Yarrowia lipolytica: one gene and its partner. The protein of the gene in region 1 interacts with the protein of each later gene in a biochemical or structural test. Links are inferred from orthologs where the notes say so. Each region holds a gene or a part of one and is shown on either strand. Other genes may lie near its edges.

Region 1 (8,492 bases):
CGCTTTCAACATGCCTTTGAAAACGCAGTCGTTCGCCCTGTGCAAGTCCCCCGAGGAGTTTGAAACGGCCATGGGGTTCCCCAAGCCCAGTAAGAACATGCACGTGGTCTTCTACTGCCAGAGCGGAGTGCGGGCCCGAATGGCTGAAAAACAGGGAGAGCAATGTGGATATGAAAACCGGGGGATTTATCTGGGATCCTGGAAGGAGTGGAGCCAGTATGAGACAGAGGTGGGGCAGTGTTAGCAGTGCTAAACCCTAGTGCGAAGTGCCAGCTACTTGTAGTACGATGGCTAACAGATACGAATAGCAGGTATGAAGAGCTAGCTGGATAACTAACGGCGAATGATTAACCACCGAGTGTCGATGCTATCGCTGCATTGCTACTTCTGGAGCTACCTTGACCCTAAGATCTTAGCTAATATAGGAGAGATAAATTGTGTTATAAAGAGAATTGTAAAAAAGAGATTTGAACTGTCGATTCGCAGTCGTATTCCATGTTTTCGGGACCCGTTTCTCGGATCATACATGCACAGCAAAGAGAGCATGTACTCGTCGTACTCGTACTGTACCGTATTTACAGTGGATTTTTATACATTCATTCCTTATCGGAGTCCATTTCAGTCTTGAAAATCATCTGATCAAGTTTCGGAACATTTCCATCCCTTATTGAAGTAGTAACCAAATTCTGCAACGGTCTACATTTTGTTGAACTACTTGGATTTAACGATATTTAGTTGTAATATTAGTTAAGCCTTGGGAGCCCTCGTAATGATCCATAGATAGGTGCCCTTAGATAATTCTACGACTTCCAACCATCTGACGAGGTTTGATTCATATTGCCTTCTTGCGGAATCGGTTATCACGTGACTCCTTGCCACTACCATGCTGACTGATAGGACCAGCTGTTCATGACACTACAGTAGGAGCAGGCCCATAAGTCAGCAGAATGGTGCCGGCAACATGGCCCGTCTGATTGACTACAACGAGATCGGCTATGAACGAGAGCTGTGGAAAAACGTCAAGAGTGGAAAGATTTACTGTATATTCGTGACAAAACCATGACAAAAACATGAAAAAATAATGACCAAACTCCATGTGGGAAATGAAAGGCGGCCTTTGATAGTCACAGCCGCAACAGGAACTTGTAGCACATGAGCTGAGACCCTAGGTTCGAGTACCCTGTTCAATTGGCCCTTCAATCACGTCTCAGAATTCTTGTTCCATCATTCACCGCTCTTTTACCTGCCACAATTGAGTCTTTGACGTAGTCATGAAGATACAAAAGTTGACGAAGAAAACTGTCCTGCATGATCAGGCCTTATCTATGCACCTGAGTAGAGGCATATCATCATCAAGTTGTTGTTTCCCCGAAAGTCACGTGACCTAGTTCGATCGTGGCGGTTATTTCTGTGTATTTTTATCTTCAGTTTGATTCAGTTAGTCCATTTCCGTTTAGTTGTTATCGGAACAGTATTGTGCGAGTTGAAGGTCTTCTTATGGTGATACAACCAGAGACGACTCAACGTGGCTAGGAGAACATCAATAGACTAGATTCTATCACATTGACTGATATATAATATCCTTCTTTTGTAGTTTCTTAGAATTGATCTCTTCCCAAGTCTTTCGGTACACTATTCCAAGTTCTGGACTGTGTGGTTGGGTCTATGTAACTGGTGAAAGTAAATCAACTAAATGTCAACAATACTGGTTATGAAATAAAAATTGAATCTCAGATAGACAAATAATTCACGGTGAAAAACTTTACAACTCGGAAACACTTATCAAAGGACTTATATACTACCATATGGGCTACATTTTATAGCTTCACGATGTCTGTAGTCGTAGATATGGTCCCACAGCTCTCTTTCCTTCTTAACAAAGTCTAACTAATATCTCAACTGACATGGTTTAGACAGCAGTGGGACATGGCAAGAGTCATTAAGAGAGACCAATCAATGGCTGGCTCGCGAAAGGGGTAACTATTGGTCACACCATTCCGTACGTTATCATTCAACCATTCTACACACCAACAATCTGAAGCTCAATCGTCTCTTCTGAACTTCACCAGATGGCTGTCACGCACTGTGGGGGAGGATGATCACGTGACTGTCCACAAACACACGTGATCTGGGTCACTCTACAGTTGTACATATACCATCTTGTCATATCATAAACATTAACATTAATCATCTCTACATTTGGAGAGTGGTCGTGGACCGCTAACCGCTCACGTGTCCACTGAGAAGTCTCTGTCTGAGTCTCGCGGCTCGCTCCGCTCATTTCATGACGCCATCAACCTCAATATCTCTCTAGATTGCCTCATCCAACACATCCCGATCCTTACCACTCACCACCTCTCCAATATCCTCCGAGTCATTGACACTCTTATCAATGTCGATTCTCTTTCGCACCTCGCCTGCAACGCGCATTCCATCCGCCACCAAACCGTCAAACACGTCTCGCAGAGACGCTCGCTTGTGTCTATCGGCATCAGACTGTCGCAGAATGACACTCTGAGGAAGAGACACGGCAAACAGCGTCTCGAGCGTCTCATCGGCCAGAACCACCATTCGGAAAGTGGGCAGATCGATGAACAGGGGTTTGCTAGGGTCAAGAGCTGCATTGTGAGCCTCTACAGAGTCCTCAGAATCCTTACCCTTGTCCCCAGCAGCCTCCTTGTCGGCCTCCTTTTTGGCCTCGTTGGCATATTCAAAAGCACGCTGAATGAAGGCAGAAACGGCAGACAAATACCGCACGTTCTGCTCATGAGCCACCTTTTGCCGTTCCTGCATAGGATCGCCAATATCCTTAAACGACTTTCGTCTGACAGCTCCTCGAACAGCTCCAATTGCAGCTCCGCTCACAGCACCTCCAGCGGCTCCAATTGAGCCGATAGTTGATTTGATCGATCGAGAAGACACGCTCTTGGCACTCTTGGAACTCTTGGTGCTCTTGGCATCGTCCTCATCGGTGTCAGGAGTGTCAAAAATAGCTTCTGAAGTGTTCTCTTCAGCCAGCTTCTGCTGCTCAGCCTCGAGACGGAGAGCTTCCATCTCCTCGGCCAGACGAATCTCCTCCTGCTGCAGGAGTTCCTGGCGTTCCTGCTCTCTTCGGTCAAGTTCCACAAGCGATATCTGATCAAGAATGGGAGCTCCATCAGTGTACACTGTACCTTCTCTCCAGGCCTTTGTCAGGAACAGCAAACCCTCGGACATGCTCAGAATACCCTCTCTATCGATCTGGCCGTCTCCATCGTCGTCGTACAGCTCAAAGAAGTACGTCATCAGACCCATGAGATCGGACTGCTTCAGAGCGTCAATTCCAGTGACAACATTCTGAAGAGACAAAGTGCCCTTCATATCGGCGTCCCAGCGGGTGTATAGACGCCGCAAAAAGTCGGGTGTACCGTCAATAGAAAGTTCCTGAGGTTCTGTCCAACAGACCACCGACGAGAGGAAGTTCTGGTAGTTTTCCAGATTCATTTCTCGGTAAGTGTGGTATCTGTCGTAGAGGACTGACAGATCATCCTGAGACAAGTTCTTGGTCTTGTGAAGGTTTCGGATGGAAGTTCGTTTGGCAAAGATTTCAATGTCTTCCAGCACCCGGTCCTGATACTTGGCCCGCTGCTCGGTGATCAGAGGCTCAGTGATGACAGAGAACTCCTTCATAGCGACAACCATCAACTCTTGGAACTTTGTGATTGATCTGAGCTTCTCGTTTTTTGAAGTTGGGTGAGCTGACTGATCAAGTGTCAAAAAGTATTCCTTGATGATTCCAATCATAAGTCCATCGTCATCAGCTTCAAGAAGCCGCTCTCCGTTGATTCGAAGAATAGCCAGAGCCACCTGGAACAAAAGCTTGGGTCCCTCAAGGAAGAATACATCAATGATTCTGAAGGCAAACACCAGAGGCATGGAATTGATGAAAATTGAAAGGAACCACGGCAGAGAGACGACCGACAGTTGCACGTCGCATCGCTGAAGATGGTCCCACAGAAGAGGCATAGTCTTCTCGACCAGAGACTCAAACACCTTCTGATCAAGCAACGTGCCGTACATGCTCTTTGAGTAGTATCCGGGGAGCATTTTGTCGCAGAGGACATTCAGACACCAAAAGGCCTGCTCTTCAGACATGTAGATTAGAAAGGCGGCAATGACAATGTTCATGGCCTGACAGTATCCAACATCGGGGTTCTTCCAGGAGTACACTGTGAGGACGCGTCTCAGTCTGGCGATACCCTCCTCGTCTTGGTAAGCTGAGTACTCCGGCAGAGATCGATTGAGATCCTTTTCAATCTCTTCTGTGGCCTGAGAAGTTTTTCCTTCGTACTCCTCAAGCAGGTCGTTGTACATGCTCTGGTGGGCGAGACGCAGGTACAACGACCCCGACGTGAGTTCCCAAATTTCGCCTCTCAGTCGGTTGGGCAGACCCACTCGGATGAGTTTGTAGAAGGTCTGTTGTCTCACCAAAGTCAGGTTGCGTCCATGCGTCTGGAAGTACTCGAGCCACAGGCGCATCTTGGACTTATCCCGCAGCTTTTTGGCGTCTCCGGGGTATCGGAACACCTGTCCGAGACCTCCCAGTGGTGGAGGGGGAGCGTCGCCCTTTTGGCCGGAAGAAATTACGTTCAACAAGTACTCCGAGTACAGGGTGGCGAGGAAGGGCTTGAGAGACTTGATCTTGGCAAGGTTCTTGCCCAATTGGGCCTTGAGGGCGAGCGAAAAGCGGTCGCAGGCGGACTTGATGCCGATGAACTGGATGACGAGCGTCAGGCCGTTGTATGTCTTGATGGACAGCGCAAAGAGGTACGACTTGAGCGGGAGTCGCTCGACCCGTTTGACCGTCAGCAGGGGCAGCGCAAACGAGCATTGACGCGCGTCGGTGGCTGTGAAGCACAAAAACGAGTCCGACAGGTACAGCTTGCCCTGGTAGATGACGTTGGAGAACTCAATGAGAGATTCCGAGCGGGCCGCCTGGCCCGGGTTGACGGGCGGGTTTTCTGCGTTCTGAAGCGCAACCTCGACGCTGATATCCGCCAGCAGCTTCTGCGAGTCCGGCAGACTAAATTGAAGCCGGAACTTTTCGTCCTTGTTGAGTCGGCGTTTGTAGTCGGAAAATTGCGCTGTATCGGCGGCGGTCTGGATGACGCCGGACGAGGTTTCCGGCTCAAACAGCTCCAGCGCCTTGTTTTTGAGCGAGGTGAGAAACGACATGGCTCCACTGGCACGAGTAGCTCAAAAGGTGTAGTTGCAGTTGTGTGGTGTTCACCGAGTGGAGTCCTGCACGATAGTGGTGATTGGGAGTATGCAGATGGTGCATGTAATAGCGCAGAGGGGATAACATATACCGGGACACATTGAGAGTGGGAGGTCACGTGGAGAGGAGGATAGCGGTCACGTGAAGTGGTCTGGGGACGTCTGGACAGGTCTAGAATGGTCCAGGATGGATATGATAGTCTTGACAGCTTTTTTGTAGCTCTCAGGCTGTATCAAGTGCTGTTTTATTGGATATACCACATCAAGGGCAAGTACAGTACAGTACGGAGAAAACTAACTACAGTACTGTACATTGTAGAAATAAAATATTTAAAAAATAAAAATTAAAAATAAAAATTAAAAAATTATGTCAGAGAGATACAGCTTTCGGAGTAATGGGATGAAATCAGAGTGTGGCAGAACTTGTAGCTGTGGATCTCGTAAAGGACACGGTTTTGATGTAGCCTTTTTCCTTCAGGCCGTGCCGGTAGCTACTTGCACTCGCACTGTACTCAACTTGCTCTCTCTCTATCTCTCTTTTTTCCTATCTCTCTCCGGAATGGCTGCCTCGGGCTGTCAGGGTGAATCTTGGCTGAGCTATATATAACCGGCTGTGACATGCCAAGAGCGCCGAAATGACGCGAATTGGTGAGAAACCAAACCACTCCGGTCGAGGATCGAACTCCTGACCCGCTAAGGACACGTATGGGCTTATTGTAGTGGTCTAAGGTCCTGATCGGGGCTAAAGGTGCACGAGCTGGGACGTCCCAAAATGGTGATCTTTAGAATTAAAAACGGATCATTAGAAAAGAAAGAAAGAAAAAAAGGAAGGAAAAAAGGAAAAAAAGGGAAAAGAGGGAAAAAAGGGGAAAGAAGGAAAAAAAAAGAAAAAAAGGAAATAGCTCGAAGTTGAATCATGGGAAAAGAAATTCTCCGGGAAAAAGAGTAAAATAGAGGAAAATCGACCGTGTGGGACTGGTCGGGTTGTTTGCAATGAGTCTCTTTCTTCCTGCGAGTCATCTCGAGTGTTGAAGGAGTCACCCAGCACCGCTGACATTATTGTTATTACTAACTACAGTACAGTGTGACATCACCAACAGCATAGATCTACAGATGAACTTGCTCAACTCGGGAAAGAAAAAAAATTAGGCCATTTTAAGCCCATTAGAATGTTGACCACAAGGTGGCATTTACTTTCTCCCTCGATGGCTGCAAAGATAACTAGAGCGGCGTTGTCCCGTGACGTACTTTTGGGTGGCCAATCGGTCGTGTTGTCACTTCGATACGACATAAAATAATACCTACTACAAGTAGCAGTTAAGACGAGGTGCTGGAGAGACTTTTATTATCATGATTATTATTGTTATTCTAGACGAAAGTGTCCAAATCACCTCCATAGCGAGCTGAAGGACACGCCTGTCTTCGGAAGGAGATATGGCCACCCATGAGCATTTCAAGCATGCATTTTTGGTACAATATGATACAATTATCGTCATTTCTTCTGCCTTGAACAACCTCTGTATATCCCGCATATTCCGTATATTTTATCCAAGTAAAATGCACATCTTTTGTTTTGTTTAAACAACCAAGTTCGGTCACATGACTCTGCATAGTGAACAGATCTGACGCATCTCGACATTCACCACCAGCACATTGCAACACCCAACATTGCACAATGTGGCTCAAAATCTACCTACTCTCGATCCTGGCCATCTCCGTGTTCACGTTTGTGTTCTTGTTCGGCGCGTTGCCTCAATTCGAGGACACTGCGGTCTGGAAGTTCCGAAAATGGCTCAGCAACCGTCCGGCAGCCATCAGATCGTGGGACTCAAAGTACTGTGGGGGCCGTCTCTCGGTAGTGGGCGACTTCTGCGGCTCTGTGGTTGCTCCCGCAGCTCCATGGTCCGTGCCCATTCTCTACTGCGCCTTCACGACCTACATGTTCTCTGCCTACTATGAAGATTTGCATCCGTTCATCGCAGAAAATCACTGGTATTACGCGTGGCTGGCGCCTGTGGCCTACACGATTCTGGTTGTATCTTTTGTACTTGCCACCTTCTCGGACCCCGGCAAAATCACCAAACAAAACCACGCCCTGCTGCTCAACCAGTTCAGGTTTGACAACCTCATGTTCCTGGAAGACACAGAATGTAGCACGTGCAAGTTCACCAAGCCTGCAAGATCCAAGCACGACCGGTTCACCAACAAGTGCGTTGCCAAGTTCGACCACTATTGTCTCTGGATCAACAACACGGTGGGTCTGTACAACTACAGATGGTTCCTCTTCTTCCTGCTGGGCAATGTCTGGACCCTGTGTTGGGGAGCTCTTCTGGCAGGCCTCAAAATGATTGTCATGGTGGCCGCGGAGTACAAGGACCATCCCAAACCGCTGCCAAGTATCTTTTCGCAATGGTGGCAGGTCATGATCACCAATGAGAACAAACGGGTGGGGATTATCTTTCTGCTGTCGGTGTCTACCGGTGCTCTAGCCTGTGCCTTCACAGCGATGCATTTCTACTATATTTACCTTGGAGCCACCACCAATGAAACGGATAAATGGGGCGATATCCATGCTGCCATTTCCGAGGGCAGTGTATGGATGTTTCAGAAGCCGGGTTTCAAGCTTGATCGAAGCATTTTGTTGCAGAAAGACGAGGAGGGACGACCGAACAGATCTCTGACAGCGGAGGAGCGGGAGTACGTTGCCCAGAATGGTCTCGCCTTGACCTTGCTGACGGACCATAAACCGATTGTTAACATCTACGACAAGGGGTTTTTGAACAACTTGAAGGCAGTGATGTTTCCGAACAGCGCTTATTAGTGATGGAGACATTGGAAGGAATGAGCTGTGCTACGCCCCTGAGGAATCTGCTGGCGAGGTGTACGATACAAAACCTGTATAGTAATTTATTTATGACTAAGATGCGGGGGGTTGGTTGCCGTGACATGTTAGAGCTCTTTAGTACTTCGTCTTGACGCAGATTAATGTCTGAGAGAGACAGTCCCGGGATCGTGTGTTCTCCCAGTGCCTCATGTGTAAGGCCTCAAAACCAATTAATCTGGTATTGGTGAACGCCCGTGATAATGGTACAAGGTCATTGGTTTCATAGTTGTTTCAGTCAACTTCCGACATAGCTCTGGTGTGTAGTTTATCAGAGCTCCGAGTAGGTGTGCAGTTTCTCAGAGCACCGAGTAGGTATTCAGAGCTTCAGGATCCAATTGATTAGTGCTTCGCT
Region 2 (6,672 bases), on another chromosome or scaffold:
CATTGTACAACATGATACCACGAGTACAATTAGTTACTTGTACTGAAAAAGCTATACAAGACCATTCGCTACGCTCCAATTCTTGAGGTCAACAACAACAATATAAATACACTATGCTAGTCTCGCCGTTGGTTACGACTGAATCTCGGAAAAGTTCTGCACCAGTTTTCCCACCGGCTTGACGTTGGACTCCTTGGCAACCAGCTCCACAAACTTGCCGACATGCTTGGAAACCACCTGTTTGTCCTTTTCGCTCAGGTTGGCCTTGCTCACGTGAGAAGCATCGCTAGCAAGCACCACAATGCCTGTTTCGGGGTCCAGCTGGCGCTTGAAGTCGGAGGCACTTCGTTTTTGGGTGATGCCGTTCGGGGATTCGACCTGGGCCACCGCGCCGACGTCGATGAGATTCGAGCCGGTGCTCGTCACAATCTGATGCAGGTTAGACATGCGTTTCTGGCGGTCCGAAGGGTCCACTGCATTATCGTCTGTGGTGTCGATTGTGTTGTTTCCAAGAAGAGGTTCATTTTCGGAGATCTGGGTTAGTAATCTGCATAGAGAGAGTGTGTGGGGAAAAGATGCCGGCAATCAAATGAATACTCACACCAGGAGGGTCTTCCTCAACGGGCCCTCTTAAGCAAGACAGCAAGACACCCATTTGCTGTGTGTTGTTAGTAAGATGGTGATGGAGATATGAAAGTGTGGAGATGCATGTTTGAACTTAGATGAATATCATAACAAGAAAGGAGAGTAGTTACTGGGATGTAATGGATATGTCGGGAAGGTGATGAATATGAAATATACCATGAAATTACTGGAGAAATTGATTTTGATACTCATTTTTGTAATTTATTGCATATTTACCAACTTAAACACTTTTGTTAATAATTACTTAACCCCCCAAGTAATACATCAAAGCCCATGTACTCCCAACCCTAACCCCCAAACAAGGTTCTGGCCAACCAAACGAAGGGTAAAATCTCAAGCTCTGTAGTAATAGCGTCAAGATCACGGTTCAGCTCGGAGGCTCAGAACACAACCCCAAAAATGCGATACACACAGCTGCTGCGAAACGTCTCCAAGGGAGTCCAGAAGAGTGGCCAGAGCGTCCTCGTTCAGATGCGAGAGGGAAGTGAGTATCTATGTGGTTTTTAAACCTGACTGTGCACTACACAACTACGTCTGATGTCACCACGACAGGAGACGAATGTCTTGTCTATGCCACTAACAAAGCTCCTATCGGTCTGACCGGTATCTACCAGCATCCCAACCCCCGACCGGCACTGATTGCCCTGTACGAGGCCACCCTCAAGGAGCTGCAAGACAAGCACCCCAAGGACTCTGTCTACCGACAGTCCATCGAGAACCTGACTGCTCACCGAAAGCAGATTGTGGAGGACAACGAGGTCAGTGAGGTGATCGAGAACAAGATCGGAGCCGGTCTCATTGAGGAGGTGGTCATCCAGGCCCACGAGGAGCTCGAGCTCGCCAAGAAGATGAGCGAGTGGAAGCCCTGGGAGGAGCTGGAGGAGAAGCCTTTGGAGGACCAGTGGGTTTACTTCAACAAGAAGGGTGTTGAATAAGGGTATAGCATAAAGATGTGGATATTGACGATCATGAGCGTGGTTAATGACCCGTGAGCGAACCAATGGCTTGTGAATGGTCCAATGAGTGAGCCACCGCAGTCGGACAAGCCATTTGCTCGGTCTCATGGCCTCATGAGAACGTAGACAAGTCATTGTTGGACAATGGTTTACAAAATGTGGGCGTAGAAATAGAACGGCTCTTTGATTAGCTACTTGTAGTCTACAGTATTTATGGAGAATCTCGTCATGTACAGTATGTACATACTTGTACGATAGAAGTGACAGATGACAGAGGTATACTTTTTTGAAGTTGTTTATTACCGTGCTAGATGGCGCCGTAGAGCGGTGATATTGATTCAATGAGCAGTCTACAAGTGTACCAGTACGAGTACCAGCACAAGAACGGGCGGTTCCACCAGTTACTGTAGCTAGAAGTACCAGTACAAGTAGCTAGTTAAAGTGTATCGACACTTCTCCATTATGATACTAACATGTTGATTTATCTTTCACAGTACTGCCATAGAGAACACGGAATCGTTTGTATTTATCTAAAGATCTACAAGTAGGTCGATAGTCCTGAAGTGTGTCCTAACAAGAAAGCGAAACCAACCATTGTACTACTGGTAGATACTTACAACACTACATCACAGAGTCTGACTGGCATCTTACTATAATTCATGACGCAATTAATATACTATATACCCTCTTCAGTTAACAGCACTTGGAGGCGGAGTTTTCCTCGCCCTCGGCGATGTTGATGCCGCCCGACCCAGACTCGTTGCCCTTGGTCTTGGCCACAGTGTCCCTGATTCGAGTGGCAACCGAGTAGAAACACTCCTCGACGTTAATGTTGGTCTTGGATGAGGCCTCCAAGAAGGGAATGCCAAACTTATCTGCCAAGGCCTGGCCCTGTTCTGTGGAAACGACTCGCTTCTCATCGAGGTCGCACTTGTTGCCAACCAGAATGAGCTCGACGCCCTCGTTGGCGTAGCTCTGCACGTTCTGGTACCAGTTTTCAATGTTGTTGAAGGACTTTTCGTCCGTCACGTCGTACACCAGCAGAATGCCCATGGCGCCCCGGTAGTAGGCGGTGGTGATGGTTCGGAACCGCTCCTGGCCGGCCGTGTCCCACACTTGCAGCTTGACCCGCTGATTGCCAATGTCAATCGTTCGGATTTTGAAGTCGATACCAATGGTGGTGATGAAGGAGGGGGTGAACTGGTCCTCGCAGAACCGCAGCAGCAGACACGACTTGCCCACGCCGGAGTCGCCTATCAGCAGCAGCTTGATCAGCAGGTCGTATGTTCTCTGGGAGTGCGACATGGTATCTAGACAATCACGAAGGTGTGTTGTTGGTGTGTGTTCAAAAGATGATGGTGGACTTCTCTCGTGGTGCGCAGGGAGATAGTCCTGTGATTGTGAACTCTATTAGCAGGGGCTGGTGGCATGCTACCGGACATGACGGAGGGAGACGATAGTGGAGGAGCTAGCCGCCAAACTGATTAATAGACTTGATATATAGTTGACTCACCGCTGGAAATGCCCCATTCTCACCACCCGCGCCCCTCCGCCGACCCTCTACGCCCTCTATCGCCGCATCTACTCCTCTAGAACAACCTCCCTGTTAACACCGCACACTCAACTTGTCTTGTCCCAACTGGGCCACCATGCACACTTTTGCTACGTCACGGGTCGTCTCGGTGGCAAGATCCTAAGTTAGTGTGCTGCTCTTAGTTTTCGGTCTTAGTGGAATGAATACGGCTTGGGCAACGATATACGGACCAGGCTGACTCATTGTGCACCCCCCAGTGTACGTTACTAAGAGACCGCCCTCTTATATTACTAATATTATCACCCCTGCGTCATCCGCACGACCACTATACTGTCTGAACTAGGATACTTGCACACTGCTGTACGATACGGACTTACTGGAGATATCTCCATTGTCAGGTCATTGTCTGCTCGTAAAGTAATTATTCGGTCCGGAAATAAGTTGGCGTTAATAGAGTTAGTAAGCCAAAGTAACACAGATTATGACTTTGTTTAAAATTTTGTGATATCGCACGAAACTTGTACCTTGTATATTACGACTCCAACGATCTACAACCGCCGGCCTTCTCTGTATAGTAGCTACGAGTACTGTTTTCGTACTTGCATTCACTCGTAGTCAATAAACTTTGCACGTTGCGGGCAAAATCAAACCCCGATCTGCTTTGCCGCCTCATAACGCCACACTAGCCACTTCCGGGTAACACATTGAAACTCTATCGCATGCAGAGGAAAGCTCATAATTACAGGTGCAACTCATCATTGCCCTGATCTTCACGCATCTCAACACCATACAATGCTTCGAACATTGACCCGTTTACGACTGCAACCGCTGCAATCCGCAGCCATCGCCCGACCTCTTACACAGCCTCTTCTGCAGAAGCGATGGAACTCCACACAGCCTCCCAAGGATAACGAGCAACAAGCGGCTCCTGCTTCTTCGGAAGGAGACAAGCCCAAGCGAAAGCCTCTGTCCCGAATCTCCGTCTCCAAGGGTGCTTCTCCCGGAGAGATGCACCGACGACAATACAAGGGCATTTTCGACTTCAAGGTCTTTGCTCTGTTCGTGGCCTCTGGAGTGGGTATCTACTGGTTCTTCCAGAGCGAAAAGGCCAAGGTGACCCAGCGACGAGAGGCTGAGGCCAACCGAGGCTACGGCAAGCCCCTTGTGGGCGGCCCCTTTGTGCTTCAGGATCACAAGGGCGGTATTTTCAGCAGTGAGGACCTTAAGGGCAAGTTTTCGCTTCTGTACTTTGGATTCTCAATGTGTCCCGATATCTGTCCCGATGAGCTCGATAAGATGGCCATTATGATCGACGAGGTCAACAAGAGCAACCCCGGCCAGCTGCAGCCTCTGTTTATCACCTGTGATCCCGCCCGAGACTCTCCTGAGGTTCTAGAGGAGTACCTGTCCGAGTTCCATCCTCAGATTCTGGGTCTTACTGGTACCTATGACGAGATCAAGCAGACCTGCAAGGCCTACCGAGTCTACTTTTCCACTCCTCCTAACGTCAAGCCTGGTCAGGACTACCTCGTTGACCACTCCATCTTCTTTTACCTCATGGATCCCGAGGGACAGTTCCTGGACGTGCTGGGACGAAACCTGACTGCTGAGGAGGCCGTGGCCAAGATCCGAGAGGACATTAAGACCTGGGAGCCCAAGGCTGTCCGAGACCGAAAGAGCAAGGGCTGGTTTGGTTCCTTCTTTTACTAGACTAGTGTGTACATAGCTGAGCTAGCAGCAATATATTCTCCTGCAGCAAGAGATCATGAGCGAAATGATTTTCTTACTTGTAAGGTCGGTAGATAGGCAAATGGCCTCTGGTAATGCACATGACTTGCAAAGTGATTGGCAACGTCTCTAATGGACGAATGGCCCTGTCAGCTCTAATACTATCAAGGACTGGTACGCTTGTAGGTGACGAGGATGATAATTGATACTTCAATGAAGATAATGAGTGAACCTGATACAATGGTTATCATTGTGCTTCCCAGTATGCATATAGCAGAAATACTGTAGGTACAGTAGGGGTATGAGTGTACCTCTTACGAACGTATTTGTACGCTAGCTAGAACCCAACTTTTGCGCCCCGATAGCTTCCAGATCCCCAGAGAGCTCCAAGTACCGAATGCTGTACCTTCTATAGTTACGAAGTAGCTCTCAGGTCCGTCATTTAAGATGCTTCTTCAATATAAGGTGGTCCCTCACTTTGCTACAATACTTGTACTGTAGGCACACAAATGAGGAGAACAACAACAGTACAGATATTGTCACTGCTCCTATCTTCTTTCGCAACAGCATGGAGCTCACCTTCGCCTGGAGATATCATTTTGGGGATGGACCAAGTGTCCTTGTTTTCCGACGATCAAGACGACTCCCATCCTTTCTACAAGATCCTACCTCATGCCATGACAGCCGACATCTTTGCTTCGATTTCACAGGAGCTGTCTCAGGACTGTCGCACTCTGGATCTGGCCGGCCGCAAGGTCGACATTCCCGTCAACACGACCCTTCTGTTCGTCTTCAACAGCACCCAGTATCTTTCGACAGGGTGTGATGACGGAGATATGTCGCAGTTCATGCAGACCTCTGTGCCGTTTGGACTCCCTCAGTACCATGCTCTAGTCGACTACTTCCTCCTGGTACCTGCCAACTACACCAAACCGTTCGCCTTCTCTCCAGATCTCGTCATCAAAGAGATCAACGCTCGCAAGTGCAGACTCCCGCTGTTTTTGGACATGATAGGCACTTCAGACCCACTGCTGGCGCTAATATTCAAGTCTGTGCACAAACCAGCTCCAGAGACCTCTGAGCCTGTTTCGCCTCGTCACTCAGGAGCTGCTCAGCAGTGCAAACAGCGACTGAAAGAGGTGTGTAACAGTCCCGACACGTCTGGCATAGCCCGAGCTGCTCTGGTGCAATCAGCCCCCTTCTTTGACGAGTTTGCGCATCTGTGGGTCGGTGCTCTGGGGCTCGAAAGTCTGTACAGCTCCGTCTTCTGCCAAGTGAACGAGGTGGTCACCGAGCAAAGCTTTTGTCTACAGATCACGACTTCTGAGAGCAGAGTGAGTGTGATTGATCCTGTCACTCATGGCAGGCTGGGAAGTGGCGATGAGGTGAATCCCAATGGTCATGGTGTACGCATTGCGAAGAGAGATCAGTTGAAAGGCACCGTTCGAATTGCTACCAAGAGTCATGGCAAGTTGCACACTGTGCGCCAAAACAACATCATGGTGTCTCAGTGGAACGAGGAGCCGCAGACCGAGAAGAAGAACTCCACTCACGCCCTCCACTCGCATCTGGAGATATCTCCGTGGCAGCAGGATTCTGACACCGATGACAAGACCATTACCTGGTCAGCCGTATTTGACGGTCGGGTTCTCATGTGAGCCATGTGGATGACGCCATCCTGCATGCTGCACGCAGCACACGACTGATCGGCAGTGCCATAGTTGGGGGCGACAATGATAAGGGGTCCGTTCGCGATGGAGCAAGATAACCATAGGTGGTGTTAGGATCGCATTAGCGGCTGTCGTTAGT

The links.
Region 2: of the proteins of YALI1_B02550g (region 1) and YALI1_E27207g, one has a biochemical effect on the other in vitro, tested with the Saccharomyces cerevisiae proteins (2 studies listed by BioGRID). The link is inferred for Yarrowia lipolytica from reciprocal best matches to the Saccharomyces cerevisiae genes MDR1 and SEC4.

What each region holds. Positions count from the first base shown.
Region 1 is NC_090771.1:251,784-260,275, reverse strand, and holds YALI1_B02550g (uncharacterized protein), read right to left. Parts: upstream 5,215-8,492; coding exon 2,311-5,214; downstream 1-2,310. Other genes in the region: YALI1_B02604g (uncharacterized protein), read left to right, coding at 1-244; YALI1_B02533g (uncharacterized protein), read left to right, coding at 6,932-8,077.
Region 2 is NC_090774.1:2,716,921-2,723,592, reverse strand, and holds YALI1_E27207g (uncharacterized protein), read right to left. Parts: upstream 2,907-6,672; coding exon 2,295-2,906; downstream 1-2,294. Other genes in the region: YALI1_E27229g (uncharacterized protein), read right to left, coding at 133-534, 602-655; YALI1_E27218g (uncharacterized protein), read right to left, coding at 1,149-1,736; YALI1_E27196g (uncharacterized protein), read left to right, coding at 3,928-4,845; YALI1_E27182g (uncharacterized protein), read left to right, coding at 5,373-6,521. UniProt on the Saccharomyces cerevisiae protein: Involved in exocytosis. Maybe by regulating the binding and fusion of secretory vesicles with the cell surface. The GTP-bound form of SEC4 may interact with an effector, thereby stimulating its activity and leading to exocytotic fusion.